Linked DNA regions of Canis lupus familiaris. The protein of the gene in region 2 binds, or shares a complex with, the protein of the main gene of each other region. Links are inferred from orthologs where the notes say so. Each region holds a gene or a part of one and is shown on either strand. Other genes may lie near its edges. The genes, in order: SLPI and ELANE.

Region 1 (9,910 bases), on a different chromosome or scaffold from region 2:
TAAGGAAGAGTATGTCTGGAATACAGGAGATCTCTTAGGGCACCTCTTAATATTGTCATGTTCTGTGAGTAAGGTCTTTAGAAAAGCACAACAGCCCAATCCAAGCAAGGCAACTTAAAGACCCAAACCTTTCAAGAATGAAGGTTTGGGTCAGCCTATCAGGTGACCAAGAACTGCAACCAGCTGAGGTGCTTGCTGAAAGCAAAGGAATATAGAATGGGTAGTGGGAGAGGGTAATTATAAATACTAGCTACAACCACATGACCAGTTCCAGAAATGAGGACTGAGGACTGTAATTGTTATGAGATTTCCTCCTTACGTTGCTCTGAATGCATTTGTGTTTTCCTTCTTCTGTCTTTTTTACTGCCTTATCATGTAACATAAGCTGTAGAGACTTTATATCATAGTATTTCTTAATTTTACATTACAGGATTTAAGTTACAGGATATCAAGGAGGAGATCAAACATCACTCAAGGACTTTACCTCTTCTTTTGCAAAAGAGTTAATGTGTTTTTGGTTGTATGAAGAATAACTGTATCATGTTTGGCAGAATTCTGACTTTGTTATTGTCTTTCTTTGGAGATTAAGTATGGTTTAAGTGGATGCATCAGGGTACCAAGCTGACATGGCCTGGGCCTGTGGTGGGTAATTTCTTGTGGCAACTTGACTGATCACAAAATGCCCAGATTAAAAATTATTCATGGGTATGTCTGTGAGGATGTTTCCAGATGAGATTAACATTCGAATCTGTGGAACAGTAAAGTAGAATCCCTTCCCCAGTGTGGGTAGTCCTCATCCAATCCCCTGAGGGTTTAAATAAAACAAAAGGTGGAGGAAGAAGGAATCCACATCTCTTTTCCTCCTTCATTGTTTGAGTTGGAACATCTCACCTCATTTTCTCCTGCCTTTGGATTGGAATGTACACCATCAGTTTTCCTAGTTCTTAAGCCTTCAGACAGGAACTGCATTACACCACAGTTCCAGTTTACAGACAGAAGATTATGGGACTTAGCCTCCATAACTGTGCAAGCCAATTCCTCATCATAAAGGAATGAAAGAGGGGTGCCTGTGTGGATCAGTCAGTTAAGCATCTGCCTTGGCTCAGGTAATGATCCTGGGGTCCTGAGATCGAGCCCCACATTGGGCTCCTTGATCAACAAGGAGTCTGCTTCTCCCTTTCCCTCTGCCCTTCCCCTGCTTGTGTTCTCGCTCTCTTAAATACATAAATACATAAATAAATAAAGTCTTGAAAAAAATCATGTTGAACTTCTATGAAAACTTTTTAAACCTTCATGAATTCTAATTTTAACAGTTTATTTAGGATGTTCCCAACCTTGTTCAGAGACAATGACATTGCCTTATAATTATCTTTTCTTATACTGCCCATATTTGGTGGCAGTAGCAGACTTTTGCTAGCTTCACATTGCAATAGATGTCTATTGCTGCCTAACAAATTGTCCCCCATATTTAGCACCTTCTCCCAGTTCGAGGGTCAGGAAGCCAAGAGTAGCTTCACTGGATGGTTCTTGGTCATGGTCTGTCATGAGGTTATAATCAAACTGTGTGCTGGGACTGCAATCTTTTCAAGATTAGACTGGGGCTGAAACTCTGCCTCCAAGGTTCCTCACATGTTTGTCAGTGGAGCTCAGTTCCTCACATGCTGTTGAGAGACCCTTGTCTCTTCACCTGATGGCCTCTCCACAGATGGCTGAGTGTCCTCCTGACAGGGCAACTGAGTCCTGCCAGAGTAGAAGATCCAAGAGAGGGGACATGCTTCCCAGATGGAAGGTGCCATCCTTAACTCATCTCATCAGGACATAACTACCTCTCACTCTGCAATAGTTTGTTGGTCACATAGACCCATCTTGAAAAACCATGGGAGGGGCCACACAAGGGCTGGAGTCCCAAGAGATGAGGATATCCAGGAGGCAGCTCAGAGAGCGGCTACCCTGCTCACAAAATAAATAAGATGGCACTCCCTCTTTTCCCTCTTCCCTTAAACAGTTAAGTTAATACATCCTGTTGCTGCTCTTGGAACATTGACTGAATGTAGAATGTGGAATGTTTTTTTAGATCAGTGATATTTTCCAGGAAATTATTGAATTACAGTTGTGTTTTGTCCTTCTATGTCACTTTCCAATTAAATTCTCTGCTTCCTTTGGAGTCCAAAGAGCACAGAGAAGTGGGGAGCATGGTTCCCTGCTTGCTCTGAGTTCTGGGAGTCCAGTTCTTATTACTCTTTTCTGCTCCATGGAGTCAAGAACATTATCCTTGTGTGAAAAACAAAACAAACAAACAACACCCATTATCCTTGTGTGGTTACTAGCCAGCAGCATGTTGCTTTCCCTGGGGACTCCAATACCAAAATGCAATGGGCAGAAGTGTTTGGAGTCCCCTCTCAGGATTGATAATCAGTGCATGTGGTTCTGCTCAATATTTACTTTAAGATAGAAGAAATCTCTCCCAAGGGAGAGAGAAGAAATGTAGGAGGCTCAAAATCACCACAGAAGGCAAATATCCACCATTTTTTGAGCCTGCTGTGACCTAGCAACATTGCTATTCATTTCATACATGTGGCATACTCCAATGCTCAACACAATGAGAACGTGATTTTTGTTGCCACTTTGGAGATAAAGAAATTAAGATGTATGAGATAAAGTCATTTGTCCAAAATTGCAGAGCCAGTGTTTTCAGACTCATGATGTAGATTCATGTCTGTCTGCCCCTGAAGCCTCTTTCTTCCACTCTGTATAGGAAGGAGGCCTCATATCCACACATTCCCTCATCACCTCCCATCCAACAAACTACAAGAAGCATGTGGACAAAAGAAATGTGCTCATTTATTTATTCATCAATCAACAGGCATTTCCTGAAAGCCTACAGTGTGCCAAGCCTTTCCCCAGTGGAGATATTGGTAGTAAAACCAAGCCTTCACCATGGAATGCCACCACGGTGATCCAAGCCTGGGAGCAGAAAACAGAATTCCCAGACCACAGAGTAGAAATCCAGAGACTCTTCCAAATGGCAGGTATCAGGCTATGGGAGAAAATCAGATCAGGGTTTTAGTATGGGGACCAGCCAAATTATCTCCCTCTTCTTCCCCCAAGTAACCCCCAAGACAGAGAAAACAGCAAAGTGGTGGTATAGTTGAAAAGTCTTGGTGTCAGGAGACAGAGTTCAAGTCTCAATTTTACTGTGGGACTCTAAACTCAGCAGATTACTCTCAAAGTCCATTGATCTTTTGGTCTCTGACCCTAAACAACGTGCTGAAGTTGATCTTAATAATAAATATTTAGCACAAATGGTGCTTTACAAAGCACTTTCGATTTCAGTATGTCCATTTTACAGATAAGGAAACCAAGACTCAGAGGACCACTTGCCCAGGGCCTTCACCCAGAGGGGTTGGAATAGAATCAAAGTCATGAGTGATCCCATAGAAATCCTGGCCCTGGGGCCTGGGGAGCAGTACCCTTGAAGGATGAGAGGGCCAGGCAGAGGCTGTTTCAGGGTAGGGATCAGGAGTCCCCCAGCTTATATGCCAGGGCTGCCACAGGCTTGGGACAGAGAGGACTGGTGAAAGACAGATGGGTTGGTCCAGGCCACTCCTTACCTTATTCAGGGTCCACACAGGCTTTCCCACACATGCCCTTACAGCACTTCAAGTTAGACACGCACTGGCGGTCTGTCTCACAGTGATTGGGGGGATTGAGCATCAGACACTGGCCATAGACCACCGGACACCTGCCAGGCTTCATTCTAACTGGTGAGAGTAGAGCCACAGGTAAGGGGCCTTGTGCCTTCTGCACCACCCCTGCTTCCTGGACCCAGACCCAGCCCAACCCACTCAAGGAGAATCATCTCTTCTCCATTCCTATGACCACCTCTTCCTTCCCAGGGCCTCTGTATCCCTTCATGGAGGATCCAGGTCTCCTCTCACATAAGGCCCCCTGTCCACACAGGTGACCAGCTGTCTGGTGCTGACTGGATGGATGCCTGCCACCTGCCTGCTTACCTGAATGACCAGATGATTATTGTTCAAAAAGCCGACCTCCTGACAGACTATCTGCTTCACCAGCTAGGTGAGTAAATTCCTGTCTGGGGCAGTGTGACTCCCTGACCAGCTGCCAAATTTGACTCAACAATTCCTGGGAGGGAGGAGACCTGGCAGGACCAGCATCCAGTCCTATCCCCTTAGGTGCTGCATTCTCAGGCTCCCTCCCTCATGCCAGCCCTTCCACCTCCTCACTTGAGTTGGAGACATTAACGGGATCCAAGCATTTGATTCCACAAGCATGAGAGCAACATATCTGCCTCCCCGGACACTGCCAGTCACTCCGGCACTCAAATTTCTCAAATCCAGAAAGGCACCGATCAGGTGGTACAGAAGGGCAGAGTCCAGCTTTCCACGCTGTTGAAGAGAATGTCAAGAGTTGAGGAAGGAGCTGGGTGCTAAGTAGCCATCATGATTCCTGGACAAAGCACCACACTCCAGGAGAGACCCTCACTCATGCAACTGTCCACAAAGTCCAGAGGGAAATGCCTGCCTGACCTCCACAGCGTGGAGGCTTGATTAAACCACACATGAGGGCAGATTAAACCACACATGAGGGCAGAAAAAGTTCCTGGGCCTTGGCAAAGGGCAGAGGGCTCCCAGCCAACATTTCCTGCCCCAGGGAAAACAAAGCTCTGCAAAGGCAAAGAAGCAGTCTGGGAGGGAGGGAGATGGAGAGAGACAAAGGTAAATAGAGCCAACAGGACAGTTTGAGAGCTAGAGCCAGAGGCAGAGACACAGAAACTGAAAGATTGGCACAGAGAGACAAGAAATCAGAGCCAGAGACTGGTGTCTGCAGAGGGACAGACAAGATGAAGAGAGCGGGGTGATGAGAACAGAGGGAGTGGGGCCCGGGCTGACTGGACACCAGTATAAGAGCCCATCCCAATACTCAGAAGCCGACACAGATCTTGGAGCCTAGCTGGACATGAACCCACCCTCAGGGAGGTCTCTTGAAACTAAACTGAGAGATCAGAGCCTCTAGAAGGAGACATCCCCACACCACCAGGAGCCCCCATCACCTCTGCCCTATAGCCAAGATTGTGCCAGAGGGGCTTCAGCTTACCATTTCCAACACCTTCCACAGTCCAAGGCACCAGGGTTCCCAGGACAAGAAGCATGAGGGGGAAGAGGCTGCTGGACTGCATGATGAGACGTCGTGTGGCTCGGAAGGTCAACGCCAAGCCTCATCATTTATATTTTTGCTAGGGGGTGTGGCCCCAACAGAATTTCTTTGGCCCCTCCCAGCTGTGATCGCACCACACAGGAAGCTAGGTGAGATCAGCAATGCTAATACCAGAGAGACAGCAGTTCTTTTCTGTCCTAGCCAAGACCGTGAGGCCAACAGTAACTGCCAGGGAAGAAATGGAAGAGAGTGGCTTGGAAGATGTCACCAGGCTATTAAGGAGGCCATCTCAGTAAAGGGCTAGTAACCAAAATCTATAAAGAAAGTACCAACTCAACACCTAAAAAATAAAACATCCAGTCAAGAAATGGGCAGAAGACATGAACAGACATTTCTCTAAAGAAGACATACAAATGGCCAACAGACACACACACACACAAATGCTCACCATCATTTAGCACCAGGCAAATACAAATCAAAACCACAATGGAATAACACTTCACATCGATCAGAATGGTTAAAATTAGAAAGTCAGGAAACAGCACATGTTGGCGAGGATGCAGAGAAAGCAGAACACTTTACACTGTTGGTGGGAATGCAAGCTGGTGCAGCCACTCTGGAAAATACTATGGAGATTCATTAAAGATAGAGCTACCCTATGACCCAGCAATTGCACTAATAGATATTTACCCAAAGGATACAAACATAATGATTTGAAGGGGCATATACACACCCCTGTTTATAGCACTAATGTCTGCAATAGCAAACTATGGAAAGAGCCCAGATGTCCATCAATGGATCTATCTATCTATATATCTATCTTCTTTATATATGTGTGTGTGTGTATAGCCATCAAAGAGAATTAAATATTGCCATTTGCAATGACATGGATGGAACTAGAGGGTAGTATGCCAAATGAACTAAGTCAGTCAGAGAAAGACAAATACCATGTGATTTCACTCATATGTGGAATTTAAGAAACAAAACAAATGTACATAGGGGAAGGGAAGGAAAAATAAAATAAGACAAAAACAGAGAAGGAGATAAATCATAAGAGACTCTTAACTCTAGGAAATAAACATGGTTACTAGAGGGGATGTGGGTCAGGAGGATGGGGTAGCTGGGTGATGGGCATTAAGGAGGGCACTGAATTGAAGTAATGAGCACTGGGTGTTATATGCAACTGATGAATCACTAAATTCTACCTCTGAAATTAATAACTGTAAGTTAATTAAATTGAATTTAAATTTTTTTAAAAAGGAGGCCATCTCATATGACCATTTCATGTCAGTGTGAACCATGAATGTAGTGGGGGCCCCAAGCCCATAAGCCTGGTGGGAGAAGAGGGCAAGAAGAGGCCAGCTGCAAAGAATATACTTAGATCTGGAGCTAAAGCCACAGATGTGAACTCTCCGCTAAGACCTTGTGCAAGGCCCCACTAATTCTCACATTCCTGGACTCTCAGGGATTGTGAAACTCTCTGCTGATTGCTCAATGCAATTTCCTTCTCAAAAGTTCAGGTGACATTTCAACCAACAGACATTTATTTCCTGAAATATTGACACCATTCTGTCTCCAGTGCCTGGTCCATACCTGATACATGGAAAGCGCTCACTAAACAATTGTCAAATAGGGGCGCCTGGCTGGGTCAGTTGGTGAAGCATGTGATTCCTGATTTCAGGGTCATGACTTCAAGCCCCATGATGGGTGTAGAGGTTACTTAAAATTTTTTTTAATGAGTTAAATTTTAAAAACAGTTATCAAACAAAAAGGTGCAGAAGGAAGAACTCTACCCACAGCAAATCTCTTTGGAGCTCAGTCTTCCCAACTGTGCAATGGGATGATACTAACAAATCAGCCCCTCTGAGAATTGTGAGATTATGGGTATAGAAGAGCTGGAAAAAGAACAAATGAGGGACACCTGGGTGGCTCAGTGATTGAGTGTCTGCCTTGGCTCAGGTCATAATCCTGGAGTACTGGAATTAAGTCCTGCATCAGGCTCCCTGCAGGGAGCCTGCTTCTCCTTCTACCCATGCTCTGGCTCTCTCTGTACGTCTTTCATGAATAAATAAATAAAATATTTTAAAAAGAACAAATGAATTATATCCCTTACAACTGAGAACACTGAATTGAATCTGAGGGGCACCTGGGTGGCTCAGTCGGTTAAGCATCTGCCTTCAGCTCAGTTCATGATCCCAGAATCCTGGGATTGAACCCCTCATCAGGCTCCTTGCTCAATGGGGAGCCTGCTTCTCCCTCTCCCTCTGCCTGCTGCTCCCCCTGCTTGTGATCTCTCTCTGTGTCAAATGAATAAATAAAATCTTTAAGAAAAAAAAAAAAAAAAAGAAATGAATCTGAGACAAAGGTGCAAAGAGCTCCCTGGCCACCAGAATCAATATGTAGTTATAGTGTGCAATTGGAGATACTAGAGGGATGCTTCCTACCCCAAAATCCCCTACAGAACTCCTGAGATAAGTTATATATATATATGGCTGCCATATATTAAACTTATTCTGTGTGTTACCCCATCTGTAGAGAGTGCTTCTAATTATCAAGAAAGTGATCATCATGCCAAAAATTCAGCCCAAACTTGTCTAACTGCACATCCCAACCCCTTATATCATGTGACTTCCAGATGTTTGGGATTTCCTCATTCATTCCTCAAAGTGAAGGTTTGTGGAAATTCAAATAGATGTGAAAGAGTCAAGCATTATCATGCAACAATGGCTACACAGGAACTAATTTGTAAGGTATTCTCCAACAGTCAACTGACAACAGATCTGGCTGTGCAGAAATCCCTCAACGGTTCACATTTGGTGGGAAAAGAAAAAGAAGAAAATTAGAGTGCACTGGGTAACTGGTAAGTGCCAGGTGTCCACTCCTAGCTCAAGCTCAGGAGGGCAAGAGAGATTTGGAAGGTCTGACTTCCACCCATGGGTAATAACACTGTCAGCTCAGACACCCTGGTTTAGGTTCAGGATTTGGGCTCTCACTTCCATCCTCAGGGAGAATTTGATTTCCCTCACACGAGGGGATGAGAGTGGGAGAAACTAGGGATGCCTGGGTGGCTCAGCGGTTGAGCATCTGCCTTCAGCTCAGGGCGTGATCCTGGAGTCCTGGGATCAAGTCCCACTTCGGGCTCCCTGCATGGATCCTGCTTCTCCCTCTGCCTGTGTCTCTGCCTCTCTGTCTCTGTGTCTCTCATGAATAAATAAATAAATAATCTTTAAAAAAAGAGAGAGAGCGAGTGGGAGAAACTGTCACATTTCCCACTCTCTGATACTTCCTACCGTCCTCAACGCCACACTCAAGAGAGTGTCTGGAATTTTCTAAATATTTGCATCTTAAAGGGTGCAGAGGAGAATGCTCCAGATGGAATTCTCCATCTGTGATTGATTATAAAAGCCAACTCCTTTCCTGTAAGAAAGCAGTCCTGTGATCCATTAGCAATGTCTGCTCTGGGTGCCATTGGAGGATGACATGGTGTGATCATTTTTGTCCTTCATACCATTCTAAGTTCTAAGTCTTTAAATCACAGACTGTTAAGATTAAAAGCTATCTCAGAGGTCATCTAGACCAGGGGTCAACTAACGACAGCCCCCAGAGCAAATCCAGACAGCTGCCTGTTTTTTCTAAATAAAGTTTTATTGGAACACAGCCATACATTCATTCATTTATGTATTCTGGGGCTACTTGCCCACTACAAATGGCAGAGTTGAGTAGCTATGGCAGCCACCTAAACTTACTGCAAAGCCTAAAATATTTACTCTCCAGTCCTTCACAGAAAATGTTTGCTGACTCCTGATCTAGACCAAATCTCCAGCTTGCAGTAAGGGACTGAGGTCCTCAGGGGCAGGTACAAGCCCTGAGCCGCATAATGAGTTAGTTACATGGCACCAGACCGAGATTTACTAAAGCTGGTTCCTCCCATGTTGATCCCCAGAACCTGTTTGATGTCGGACTCTACCCCTCCTGACCCCATCTCAACCTGAGATGGATTCACTAAGTCTGCTTCACACACCCTCTGTTGCCTTCTCCTAAATACTACAGATTCACTCATTTGTTAAACGCCTTCACACAAAAAATGGTTTAATGAATTCTTCCTGCATCCAGGTGTGAGGCTAAGCCCTGAGGCTTCAGTGAAGGAGACACATGGAGTCAATACTACATGGTCATTAAGAACCCAAGCAGAGTCAGAGTTCCTTGGGCTGGAAGAAAGTCATGCAACCTCTCTGAGCCTGTTTCCTCGGGTAGCATTGGCTTCTCCTACATTGCTGTGAGTGAAAGGTATTTGGCAAGCACTCGGCACAGTGTCTTTGTCTCTCAGAATGGCAGACATGGTTCTTATTACAGTCAGCACCATGTACACTGGCACACAGGGAGGCACTACAGCCCCAGACCTCGGGTCCAGACCCGGCCTGCTCTGCCCCACTAAATGCCCAACTGAGCCTTCAGGACAGAGCTGCTTCTAGGATGCATTGTTGGGGGAAGGATCTGGGCAAGTATTTCTTGAGGGCCCTCTGTCTCTAGAAACAAATTGATTCAAAAACATTATAGGGGGGCATGGCTGGCTCAGTAGATGCAGAGTGTGACTCTTGATTGTGGTTTTTGTTTTTTTTTTTTTTTTTTTTTTTGCCATGCCCCTACCTTGGGCATAGAGATTACTTAAAAATAAAAACAAAATCTTAGAAAAAATACTGTTTTATATATATCCAAGAGGATTTGGAATAAT
Region 2 (9,734 bases):
AGGTGCTGCAGGCGGTCGGGCCGGCGGCCCGTGTGGCTGACCACGCCCCAGCCCGCCACGTCGCAGCGCGTCCCGGCCGCCACGTCGCGGTCCTCGCGCTGCCAGCGCAGGGGCTGCACGGCGGGGCCCAGCTCGGCGTCCTCGGACAGCTGCGGAGGGGGCGGCGCGGGGTCAGGGCGGCGCGGGGCGGGCCTGCGGCCCAGGTGGCGGCCCCCGCGGCGGCCCAGGTGCTCACCTGCAGCAGGAGGAGGTCGTGCTCGATGGTGTCGCGCCGGCTGTCGGGGTGGGGCACCGCCCGCAGCACGTCGTACCAGCGCTTGGACGGCTCCGGCTGCGACAGGGAGTGCGCGCCCAGGAGCACCCGCACCTTCCCGTCGGCCCTGGGAGCGGGGTTGGGGTCACAGCCTCGTCCGCGGCGCCCCGCCCCGCCCCGCCGCGCCCCTCCGCGCCCGCCGCGCCCGCCGCTCACACGTCCTCCAGGCAGTGCGCCGCGCTCAGCACCCAGCGCTCCGACACCAGGAAGCCGCCGCACACGTGCTTGCCGTCCACCTGCACCGACGCCATGTAGGGCCGCGCGTGGGACTCGGCCTCGCTCCCGCCCAGGATGCGCCCACGAGGCTGCGCGGCTGCGGGGGGGAGGGGCAGGCGGGGGGCGGGTGACGGGGGTCTGGGCCAAGCCCGCGCCCCACGCGGCGCCTCCGGGCTCAGCGCGAGCTCGGCCCGCGGGGCTGCGTCCTGCGTGGGCCCCGCGTGGGCAGAGCTCGGCCCTGGCGCTCCCGCCTCGGGGAGTCCCTCGGGTGCAGAGCCCCCGTCCAGGTGGAGCCGCGCCTCCCCTCCCCGGCTGCCCGCCCGCCCGGTCCCCTGGGCCCAGGTCCACTCACCACACAGGGCGGCTCCTAGCAGCACCAGGGGCACCAGGGGCACCGGGCCGAGGCGGGGGGCCATGCTGCCGTGGGGCCTGGGACGGGCACGCGTGTGAGCCGGGCGGGGGGCAGCGCTCCGCACACCCACCTGCTGGCCTGGCCCTGTGGCAGCCGAGCCCAGGACGCGCAGAGGCCAGAGCAGGCCCGGCCCCGCTGCCCCCCCATCTCCCCAGGGTGCTCTCCCCGCCCCAAGTTTTGCAACAGCAGCTGGAGACCACAGTTTATAAACAACCAACTTCCTCATATTTCCGCCCTTCTCTTGTTTCTCTTCCTCCCCCAACTTGGAGGAGAGGTCAGGGTGGGGATGGGAGGTGGCCTGACATGCTCGTCCCCAGGGGCACCGGGGCCTGACACCCCAACGAGGCGCATATTAAAGAGGCGGTGTGGAGGCAGCTGGAGGAACTGTGGGCTACAAGTGACAGAAAAGCCAAGCCGAGGGGCACCTGGGTGGCTCAGTCGGGATGATGCGTGCGTCTTCGGCTCAGATCACGATCCCGGGTCCTGGGCTCCCCGCTCAGCGAGGAGCCTGATGCTCCTTCTGCCCCTCCCCACTGCCCATGCTCATTCTTTCTCCCTCTCTCTCTCTTTCTCTCTCTCTCTGTCTCTCAAAGAAATAAATCTCTTAGAAAAACTACCAAGTTGAACTCGGTAGAGTCTTCAACAAGGAAATTTAAATGGGAATTTCAGGGGGGCCTACCTTCAGGTGTGGTTTGATCCAGGAGCCTGAACTATCTCTGTCTGTGGTTTCTCCTTTCCTCCTCGGTGGCTTTTCTCCTCAACAGTCTCCCTCGTTGTGACCCCAAAAGCCCCAGACCCAGCCCAGTGGCTGGGCAGGCCCCTCCCAAATCCTCCATCCTTCCAGCCAACTTGTCCAGGCCGTGCTGATTAGCTGAGCTTCCCTCACGTGTCCCCTCCCAAACCAATCGCTGTGAGCAAGGGATGGCAGATTCTGGTCAGCCAAGGGTTACATGGCCCTCTCTAGCAGGGGGGGACGACAGATCCACGTCTCACGAACCCACAGCGGGGCCAGTGCTGGGACCATGAGGGTGGGGTGGACCTTGGACGTCCCCAATGGGCGCATTGCGCAACGTTGCCCTTCTTTCTCTTCGCCGTGGACTGTTGCATACACAGAGAAGGATGGACAGAACACGACCGTGATTTGCTAGATCCTGACAGGTTTCCTTGCTGAGGTCAGTAGCCAAACAAGTCCTGTAGGGGATGGAGCCCAGCTCCTGGAAGAGGTGGGCATCTCAGCAAGGCTTGGGGACGACTCGGCAAGACGGCGGTTTGACAAAGGGCCCCGAGCACCCCCAGGGGCCCGGTGGCCGCGGAGACACCGCCAGGGTATATGGTGCAATACTAGGCTGAAGGGCCAATCGCACGGCAGCCGGACGCCGCGTAGGGAGGGGGCCGCCAGGGACCGGCCAAGGCCGTGGGGCCCCAGGGCCAGAGCCCCGCCCGGGAGCCCCTGCTGTGATCTCCATCAGGAGTGCAGGTGGGGGGCGGCTGGGACGCGGACCCTCGCCTCGGTACTTCCTGCAGGGAAACAGGCTCAGGGTGGGGGCGCCTGTGGGGCTCGGCGGGTGAGCATCTGCCTCTGGCCCAGGGCGTGACCCCGGGTCCCGGATCGAGTCCCGCCTCGGGCTCCCCGCACGGAGCCTGCTTCTCCCTCTGCCTGGGTCTCTGCCGGTCTTCCTCTCTCAACCTCTCTGTCTCTTTGTATGTCTCTTATGAATAAATAAATAAAATCTTTTAAAAAATAAAGAAAATTTAAAATTAAAAAATAAACAAAATTAAAAACTTAAAAAAAAATTAACGGAAACGGGCTCAGGGAAGTTGACCGGTCACAGAGCTGGGGCTCCAGCGTGGGCTCCCGGGTGCGGCTTCACCCCTGCCTGGACCTGTACCTCGTCACCTGTCGGGGACACAGAGGGCCAGCCGGGGGCCCTCGGGGCGCACCTGCCACAGCGCAGGCCTCAGCAGCTGCCGTGGTTCCGTCCGTGAGCCTGGGAACCAGGAACGGCAATCGGCGCCCCTTCCCCGATGCCCTGAATTGGCCGCCCTTGGGGGCAGCAGGCTCACGAGACGCCCCAGCCGCGCCGCCACAAACACCCGGACACGTTCTCACAACCAGGGAGGGCTTTATTGGGTGGGACGCGGGCGATGCGGGGCGGGCGGCGGCGCGCGGGCGGCGCCTCGTTCGGGGTCCTGCTGGCCGGGGCGCGCGGGCGGGAGGGCGGGCGGGCGGCGGATGATGGAGTTGATCCAGTCCACGAACTGAGCGACGGGGGCGAAGGCGTCGGGGAAGAACCCGGAGGCGCAGCTGCCGCGGATGAAGGAGTCGATGCCCTGGATCAGCCCGTTGCAGACCAGGGGCCCCCCGGAGTCCCCCTGTGGACACGGACGGGGTTGGCAGGCCGCGTGTCGGCGCTGGGGGCCGCGAGGGGGGCGCGGGGAGGGCACCCGGGGGCCCGGGGTACGTACGAAGCAGATGCCGGCCCGCCGGCGTGGCACCAGCGTGCACACGTTGGAGCGGCGGCACAGGGTGGTCACCACGGTCACGTTGAGCTCCTGCAGGATCCTGGGCGGCGGCTGGGCCGTGCCCAGCTGGCCCCAGCCCATGGCCAGGCACTGCACGCCGTTGCCCACGCCTTGATTCTGGGCGGGCAGCCTGGCCACCTGCACGTTGGCGTTGATGGTGGCCGAGCCGTTGAGCTGTGGGGGGTGGGTGGGGGCATCAGGGTCATGACCTCCCCTCCTGGGCCTCAGTCTCCCCAGATGCGCAGTGGGAGCAAGCACAGGGGCTCTGAGCATCTCCGGACGAGCCTTGAACGCAGCACACGGTGGGCACTCGATGGCACACACCGTGGGCAGCAGCAATGACAAGACAGCCCTTGTTCTAGAACCTTCCCAGGGAATAGTAACTCCGCAAGCGGTGGGGGAGGGAGGGTTTCATCCTAGAGGCTCCCGGTCCACGTGCTCGGCCACACGAATTACAAGTTTGTTGATGGGCCGCGGCTCAGCGCCTCTGGCGCCACCTCAGTTCCCAGAGCCCCGGGGGGGGAGGGGGTCCTCCCGTCCAGCGGTGGAGGCCGAGGCACCGGGAGGGACGTGGCAGGGACAGCGCCCCGACCCCCAGGCGCCCCTGCCCAGCTCACCTGCAGGAGCACGATGTCATTCACCAGCCTGACGGGGTCGAAGCCGTTTTCAAAGACCCGCTGGACGGCGAACAACTGCCTGGTGCTCTCGCGTTCCCCCAGGTCATGCGCCCCCAGCACCACCACCACTGACCGGAAGTTCCTGCGGCAAACAGACGGCGTGATTCGAAGTGGCCCTGGCGGTGGGGACACCCCAGGCCTCAGCTGTGCCCCCCGAGCCCAGGAGGGTCTGCACGGACCTCACCCTCTGGGCCCGGCAGGGGAGGTGCACTAATGTGAGCACGGGGGGGCACAGGGAGGGCACGGGGGGCACGGGGAGGGCACGGGGAGGACACGGGAGCAGAGGGAGGGGACGGGGAGCACGGGGGGCACAGGGCAGCCCTGGGAGGACCTCGGGGCCCTGGTGTCACCGTGTCCCCATCACACAGAGGTGCAAACGAGTCTCCAGGGAAGGCGGCGGGAGCCGGGGGCACTCACAAGCCATCCACGCAGTGGGCCGCCGACATGACGAAGTTGGGGGCGATGAGGGTCCCACCACAGAAGTGACCTCCACGCCGCTGCAGGGACACCATGAAGGGCCATGCATGGGGCTGGGCCGGGCGGCCACCCACGATCTCCGAGGCCAGAGCGGGGCCTGAGGACACACGGGGGCGGTGAGCGCCGGGGGACCCCGGCCCGTGGCTGTCGCGGGCCCCAGGGCTCCTCGCGGGCTCAGCTGAGATCAGGGGACCGAGGACGAGGGTGCGGGCGGCCGCGCCCACTCACCGGGCAGCAGCGTGGCCAGCAGCAGCAGTGGGCCCAGGGCAGGGCCGGCGGGCACTCGGCGGGCGGTCATGGCCGGGCGGTGGCGGTGTCGCGGCCCCGGGCCCCCCGCCCCTCTTATAGGCCCCGCTGGCCGTTGCTGTTGCCCCACGGAGGGGCCAGGTGTCCCCACTTCCTGTGCCCCCCGGGGGTGAGGGGAGGCGGGGGCGGGAGGCCCGGAGGGCGGGACGTTCCCAGGCTGTCACTGTGAGCGGGTCCCCAGGGCTGCGCAGGACGGGCCGTCCAGGGGCGAGCCGCCGACCTCCACCTCCACGCTCAGAGGGGCGTCCTGTGACGTCACTGAGTCCGGCACCCTGCGCCTGACGGACCTTGGCGGGACCCCTGGCTGCCTCGGTTTACCCAGGGCTGCGAGCACTGCCCCGATGTCCCCTGGGGGCGGCAGGGCGTCTGGGCCCCCACCTGAGATGCAAGCTCGCCCCAGCCCCCCAGGTCACAGCAGGAGGGCGGCCGGCAGTCCCCCAGGCCCGCTCCCCCATCCCCCCCACCCCTGCTCCACTTCCCGCCTCCCCCAGGACTCCGCCAGCTGCTGTCGCAAGAGGCAACGTCCCACTGGCTCGAGGCTCGGGAAGGCACCAACGGATCCGGGGGCGCCCAGGCTGGGGCCACCGTGGGGCCCCCACTGTCCGGGCTGGGCAGATGCCCCTGCCACCCGGAGCCCGCGCTCGGTGTCCCCAGGGTCCCAGGGCCCCATGCCCCCCGCCCCGTCCTGCCCCTCCCCTCCCGGCGCGACCCCCACCCTCGTCCCTGAAGGTCCCTGGAGCCTTGTAAGCCCCCGAGGGGGGTCTGGTGGGTGGAGTGGGGGCAGCCGAGTCCCTGGAGGCGTACCCCCAGCTGCATCTACTGAGCACCCCTGTGTACTCTGCGCATCCATGTCGCGGGGGTGCAGTGTGTGGACTCTCCTGCGGTGGCCACTCGCCTGCTGCACCCGTGCAGGCCGCAGACTGGACCCGTGTGCACTCCGTGTCCCCGTCTCTACAATGCGCGTGAGCCACAGGCTCTGGGGGCAAAATGAGGATAAACGGACATGGGTGACAAAGTGGCATCCTCGAGGGTCACTACCCGTTAGCCACCTGTGGGGCAGGGGGGTGGCCGCCGCGAGGGGCGCAGGCCGGCGGGGCTCTACGTCCACTCGGGACCCCGGGGATGCGGGCACCTCACCCGGCGTCACTCAGGCCACAGTAAGAACGTCCTTGGGGGCGCGGGGACCTCGAGTGTGGGGACTGCTGCCCCCCCACCCCCGGCACCGCGGCCCCCTCCCCTTCTGGGTCCGACCCCTCCGGAGCAGCCTCAGGGGCCTTCCAGCTGCGGGTCTGCGTTCCCGTCACGGGCCGTGGACGCCCCCCCCCACGTCCTCACTGCCCCCTCCCTGGGCACGAAGGGTCCCCCTGGGCTTTGTCTAGAAACCACCTCCCTGCCTTGGGCTCCTGGGAAATTCGGGAAATTCCTGGCACCCTCCTGATACGCGTCAGCATCCCCCCCGCCCCCTCCCGCTGCCAGCTGTGGCAGCTCCTGTCCCCTCCCGGCGGCTTGTCGCGGCCTGAGTTTGCATCACGCCACCGGGTGGCAGCAGAGGAGGTCAGGACGGAAGGTGCTGCCTCCAGATGCCGCACCGCGACCGCTGCGCCCTCCCAGCCGCCTCTGACCTGTCCCCTAGGCCCAGCTCTGTGCCCACCAGTTCGCTGTCCCCTCCACCGCAGCCCTGCCCCCGGCACTCGCCCTGACCCCGCCTCCAGGAAGCCCCCCAAGGCCCCCCAACCCCCGGCCCGGCCTCTGCCGGGACCCACGTTCCCGTGGCCTGGTGCTCGCACAGTCCCCGAGCCGGGAGTCCCCGAGCCGTCCCCTGAGGGTCCGGCTGGGCGATGGCCGGGGGGACTCCATTTTCTAGAAAAGGAAACTGAGGCCCAGAGATGGGTAACAGAGAAATCAGGGTCACCCCGGCGGCGCTGGCGTCCGGGAAGAGTCCCTGCGTGACCTGGGCCCTCCACGAATCTACAATCGGGAACTTGGGTGCTGGGGACCCTGGGCCGCGCTCCCCCCTGGAGGGACACAGGCAGGGCGGCGGCCGCAGGGCTGGGGGCATGGGCAGGGGTGGGGCTGCATCAGGGGAGTTTTGAGTCTGCAGCTTCCTCTAGGACCCGTGGCTGAGGGGGACCAGGCGACAGCAGGGCTTTATTGGCCTCTTCCTGTGTACGCGGACCCCTGGCCTCGGGCGCGGCTCCAGGGCAGCACTGGACGGGCTGCCCCACGGCACCCGCCAGGAGGGGGCTGGCGCCCAGATTGGCCCCCCAAGCCCGCCTGGGCTGCTCACCTGCTCGAAGGCCCGGGCCTCTCCTTTCCAACCCTCGTCACTCTTGCACTAACACACTCGCAAGGCACTTACTGACCCCCGCTGCATCCTGGGGCCCCGCTAGGCCCTGGGGATCCTCTGCCCCGGTTCTCGGGGCGGGCGGGCCGGGAGGGGCAGGACAGAGGGTACCTCGCTGGGGCCAGGCCGGGCGGCAGGGTGGTCCCGTGTGCCCCGCGGGTGGTCGTGGGCTCTGTCCCCACCAAGCCCGCCGCGCCCCAGGCCGTGTCCCGGCATCTGCACAGGGCTGTGTAAACAGTCGGCGCTCCAGAGATGTTTGGTGCAGGGTGGGTGACGGCGGCCTCCCGCCTGCGGACGAGCGTGTCCCTGAGCCTCGCCTCCGCCTCCCGGTCGCGCGTGGAAGCCACTGCCAAGCAGGTGAGCGACGCTGACACGGAGCCCATCGCCGGCCCCCCGCGCTGTCCCCCTGCCCCCGGGCGGGCCTTGTGCCTGCGGTGCCAACACGAGGGGGAGGGCCCGGGCTCAGGATGCTTGGCTTGAGGTCAGCGCTCCTGGGGCCTCGTCCTGACACCAGGGCCCAGGTCACGCTGAAGGGCACAGGGGGCTGATGCCTGGTGGAGGGAAGGAGGTGTGACCCCAGGGCAGGGCTGTCTCCCCCCACCCCGACCCCAGGGCAGGGTGGCCTCCGCGCCCTCACAGGACCCCAGGCAGCGGGCAGTGGGCAGCACACAGCTTGAGTGGATGCCGGCCACGTAGGGCGGTGAGCAGGGCCCAGCCTCCTACCCACCCACGGTCTCCGTCACGCGGGGCCTGGGAGCCCCCAGACCAGGGGGGCAGAGCCACGGTGTGACCTCACCCCAGCCCCCCTCCCCATCTGTAAAGTGGGTGACCTGGGGCTCGCCCGCAGGGGGCTGGGGTCTGCTGGGGGCCGACCCTCGTTTCCGCAGGGTCCTGGGGGCCAGGCAGGGTGTGGGGAAGCCGGGCCGGGCCTAGAGCATCGTCCTCAGGATGAAGGCCTCCAACCTGCCCTGTGCCCCCCCCCCCCCCCCCCCCCCCCGGGGCATCCATGGAAGCAGCAGCAGGAGTCCTGCCCCGCCCCTGCCTCAGTGTCCCCGTTCCTGCCGGGAGGCCATGGGGCTGACCAGCTTGAGTGGACGTCGCCCCAGCACGAGCAAGGCCAGATAGACATTTGCACGTGTGGCCTCACGCACAGGGACCCCAGGGGCACCCCCTGCCTGTCCCCCTGGAAGCCCCACCGTGGGGCTTGCACCCGCAGGACCAGAGGGGGCCTGGGGGTCCGTGGGGCCTGAAGGCTGGCCCGTGCCCCCCTCCCTGCTCCCCTGGGGTCCGCGCGGCCCCAGCAAAGCAGCACGTGGCCTGGGGTCCAGGGCTGGGTGAGCCCCCGTGGGGGGAGGGGCACGCCAAGGGACACACCTGCGCTCACCTATACGGGCTCATCATTATGACAAGTTTAAACCCAGAGAAACGTAGAGACAAGCGCTCGCCAAAGTCACGGAAAAAAGAAATGTTTTTTGATGTTTCCTTTTTTTTTTAAGATTTTTTATGTATTTATTCCTGAGAGACCCAGAGGGAGGCAGAGACCCAGGCCGAGGGAGACGTCAGGGTCCGGGGTCACCCCTGGGCCCAAGGCTCACCCACGGAGCCCCCCAGGTGCCCCTTAACTTTTCATTTCGAAATGATTTCACGTTTGCGGAAGTCGGAAGGATCCCCAGGTTTGCGCCGCGCGGCTTCCCGGGGTCACCGTGGGCAGAGGCTGGTCGCAGGGTCTCCCCGGGGCCTCGGCATGTCCCCCCGGTGGCCCAGGCCCCGCCGGTGTCCCCTGCGCTCAGGGACCCCCCGCCCGTCCTGTGCCTGTGCCGAGGCTCCTCAGGACGCTGGCGTCGTGTGTCTGACCGGGGACCGAGCCTGCGCCCTGGTGGGCGCCCTGCAAGGCCAGTGTCCCCGTGGGGCGCGCGCAGCCTGTTTCCGGACCCCCGCCCGCAGCACAGGGGGCTGTGTCCCCCATCCTCTGTCCTCCGTCCCTGTACCCCCGTCCCCACCCTTCCTGGCTTGGCCGCGCCTCATCCCAGGTCCTCTCCTGCCTGCTCCTGCTGCCCGGGCTCTGAGATCCTGGGCTGGACACACAGCCTCGGGCCTCGGTTTCCCCAGCTGTAAAGGGACCCCAAGGTCAGCCGTGCCTCACGGGGCTTCGGTTATGTAATAGACGCGGGAGTGTGAGGAGCAGATACACACCCGGTCCCCCACGGGATGTCCCCGGCCCCGAGCAGGAGCGAGGCCCCCCCCAGGGACGGACCCTGGTCCCCGATGCTCAGGGAGGGGACCAGACACAGGAGGCCCCGCGGGGTGCGAGTCCACGTGTGTGACACATGCAGGACGGGCTCGCCCACGGACGGGGAGGGGCTGGGGGCGCTGGGGGTGACAGCTGATGGGGTTGGCGTTGCTGTTGGGCTGATGGAATGTTCTGGAATCAGAGGTGGTGGTTGCACAACTTTGTGAATGTGCCAA

Evidence for each region.
Region 1: the proteins of ELANE (region 2) and SLPI are in contact, whole or in part, in a crystal structure (PDB 2Z7F), measured with the Homo sapiens proteins. The link is inferred for Canis lupus familiaris from reciprocal best matches to the Homo sapiens genes ELANE and SLPI. Residues at the interface, in NP_001963.1 of Homo sapiens: His53, Phe54, Cys55, His70, Cys71, Asn74, Val75, Pro111, Val112, Asn113, Leu114, Leu158, Ile165, Leu180, Arg182, Val197, Cys198, Phe199, Gly200, Asp201, Ser202, Ala216, Ser217, Phe218, Val219, Arg220, Gly221; in NP_003055.1 of Homo sapiens: Tyr93, Gly94, Gln95, Cys96, Leu97, Met98, Leu99, Pro102, Phe104, Met121, Cys122.

The regions. Positions count from the first base shown.
Region 1 is NC_049245.1:33,193,728-33,203,637, forward strand, and holds SLPI (antileukoproteinase precursor), read right to left. Parts: upstream 5,222-9,910; 5' UTR 5,201-5,221; coding exon 5,119-5,200; intron 4,410-5,118; coding exon 4,248-4,409; intron 3,762-4,247; coding exon 3,613-3,761; 3' UTR 3,612-3,612; intron 3,038-3,611; 3' UTR 2,818-3,037; downstream 1-2,817.
Region 2 is NC_049241.1:58,265,741-58,275,474, forward strand, and holds ELANE (neutrophil elastase precursor), read right to left. Parts: upstream 4,937-9,734; 5' UTR 4,917-4,936; coding exon 4,847-4,916; intron 4,716-4,846; coding exon 4,559-4,715; intron 4,224-4,558; coding exon 4,082-4,223; intron 3,639-4,081; coding exon 3,408-3,638; intron 3,315-3,407; coding exon 3,066-3,314; 3' UTR 3,048-3,065; downstream 1-3,047. Other genes in the region: CFD (complement factor D), read right to left, coding at 1-149, 236-380, 470-945. UniProt on the Homo sapiens protein: Serine protease that modifies the functions of natural killer cells, monocytes and granulocytes. Inhibits C5a-dependent neutrophil enzyme release and chemotaxis. Promotes cleavage of GSDMB, thereby inhibiting pyroptosis. Promotes blood coagulation.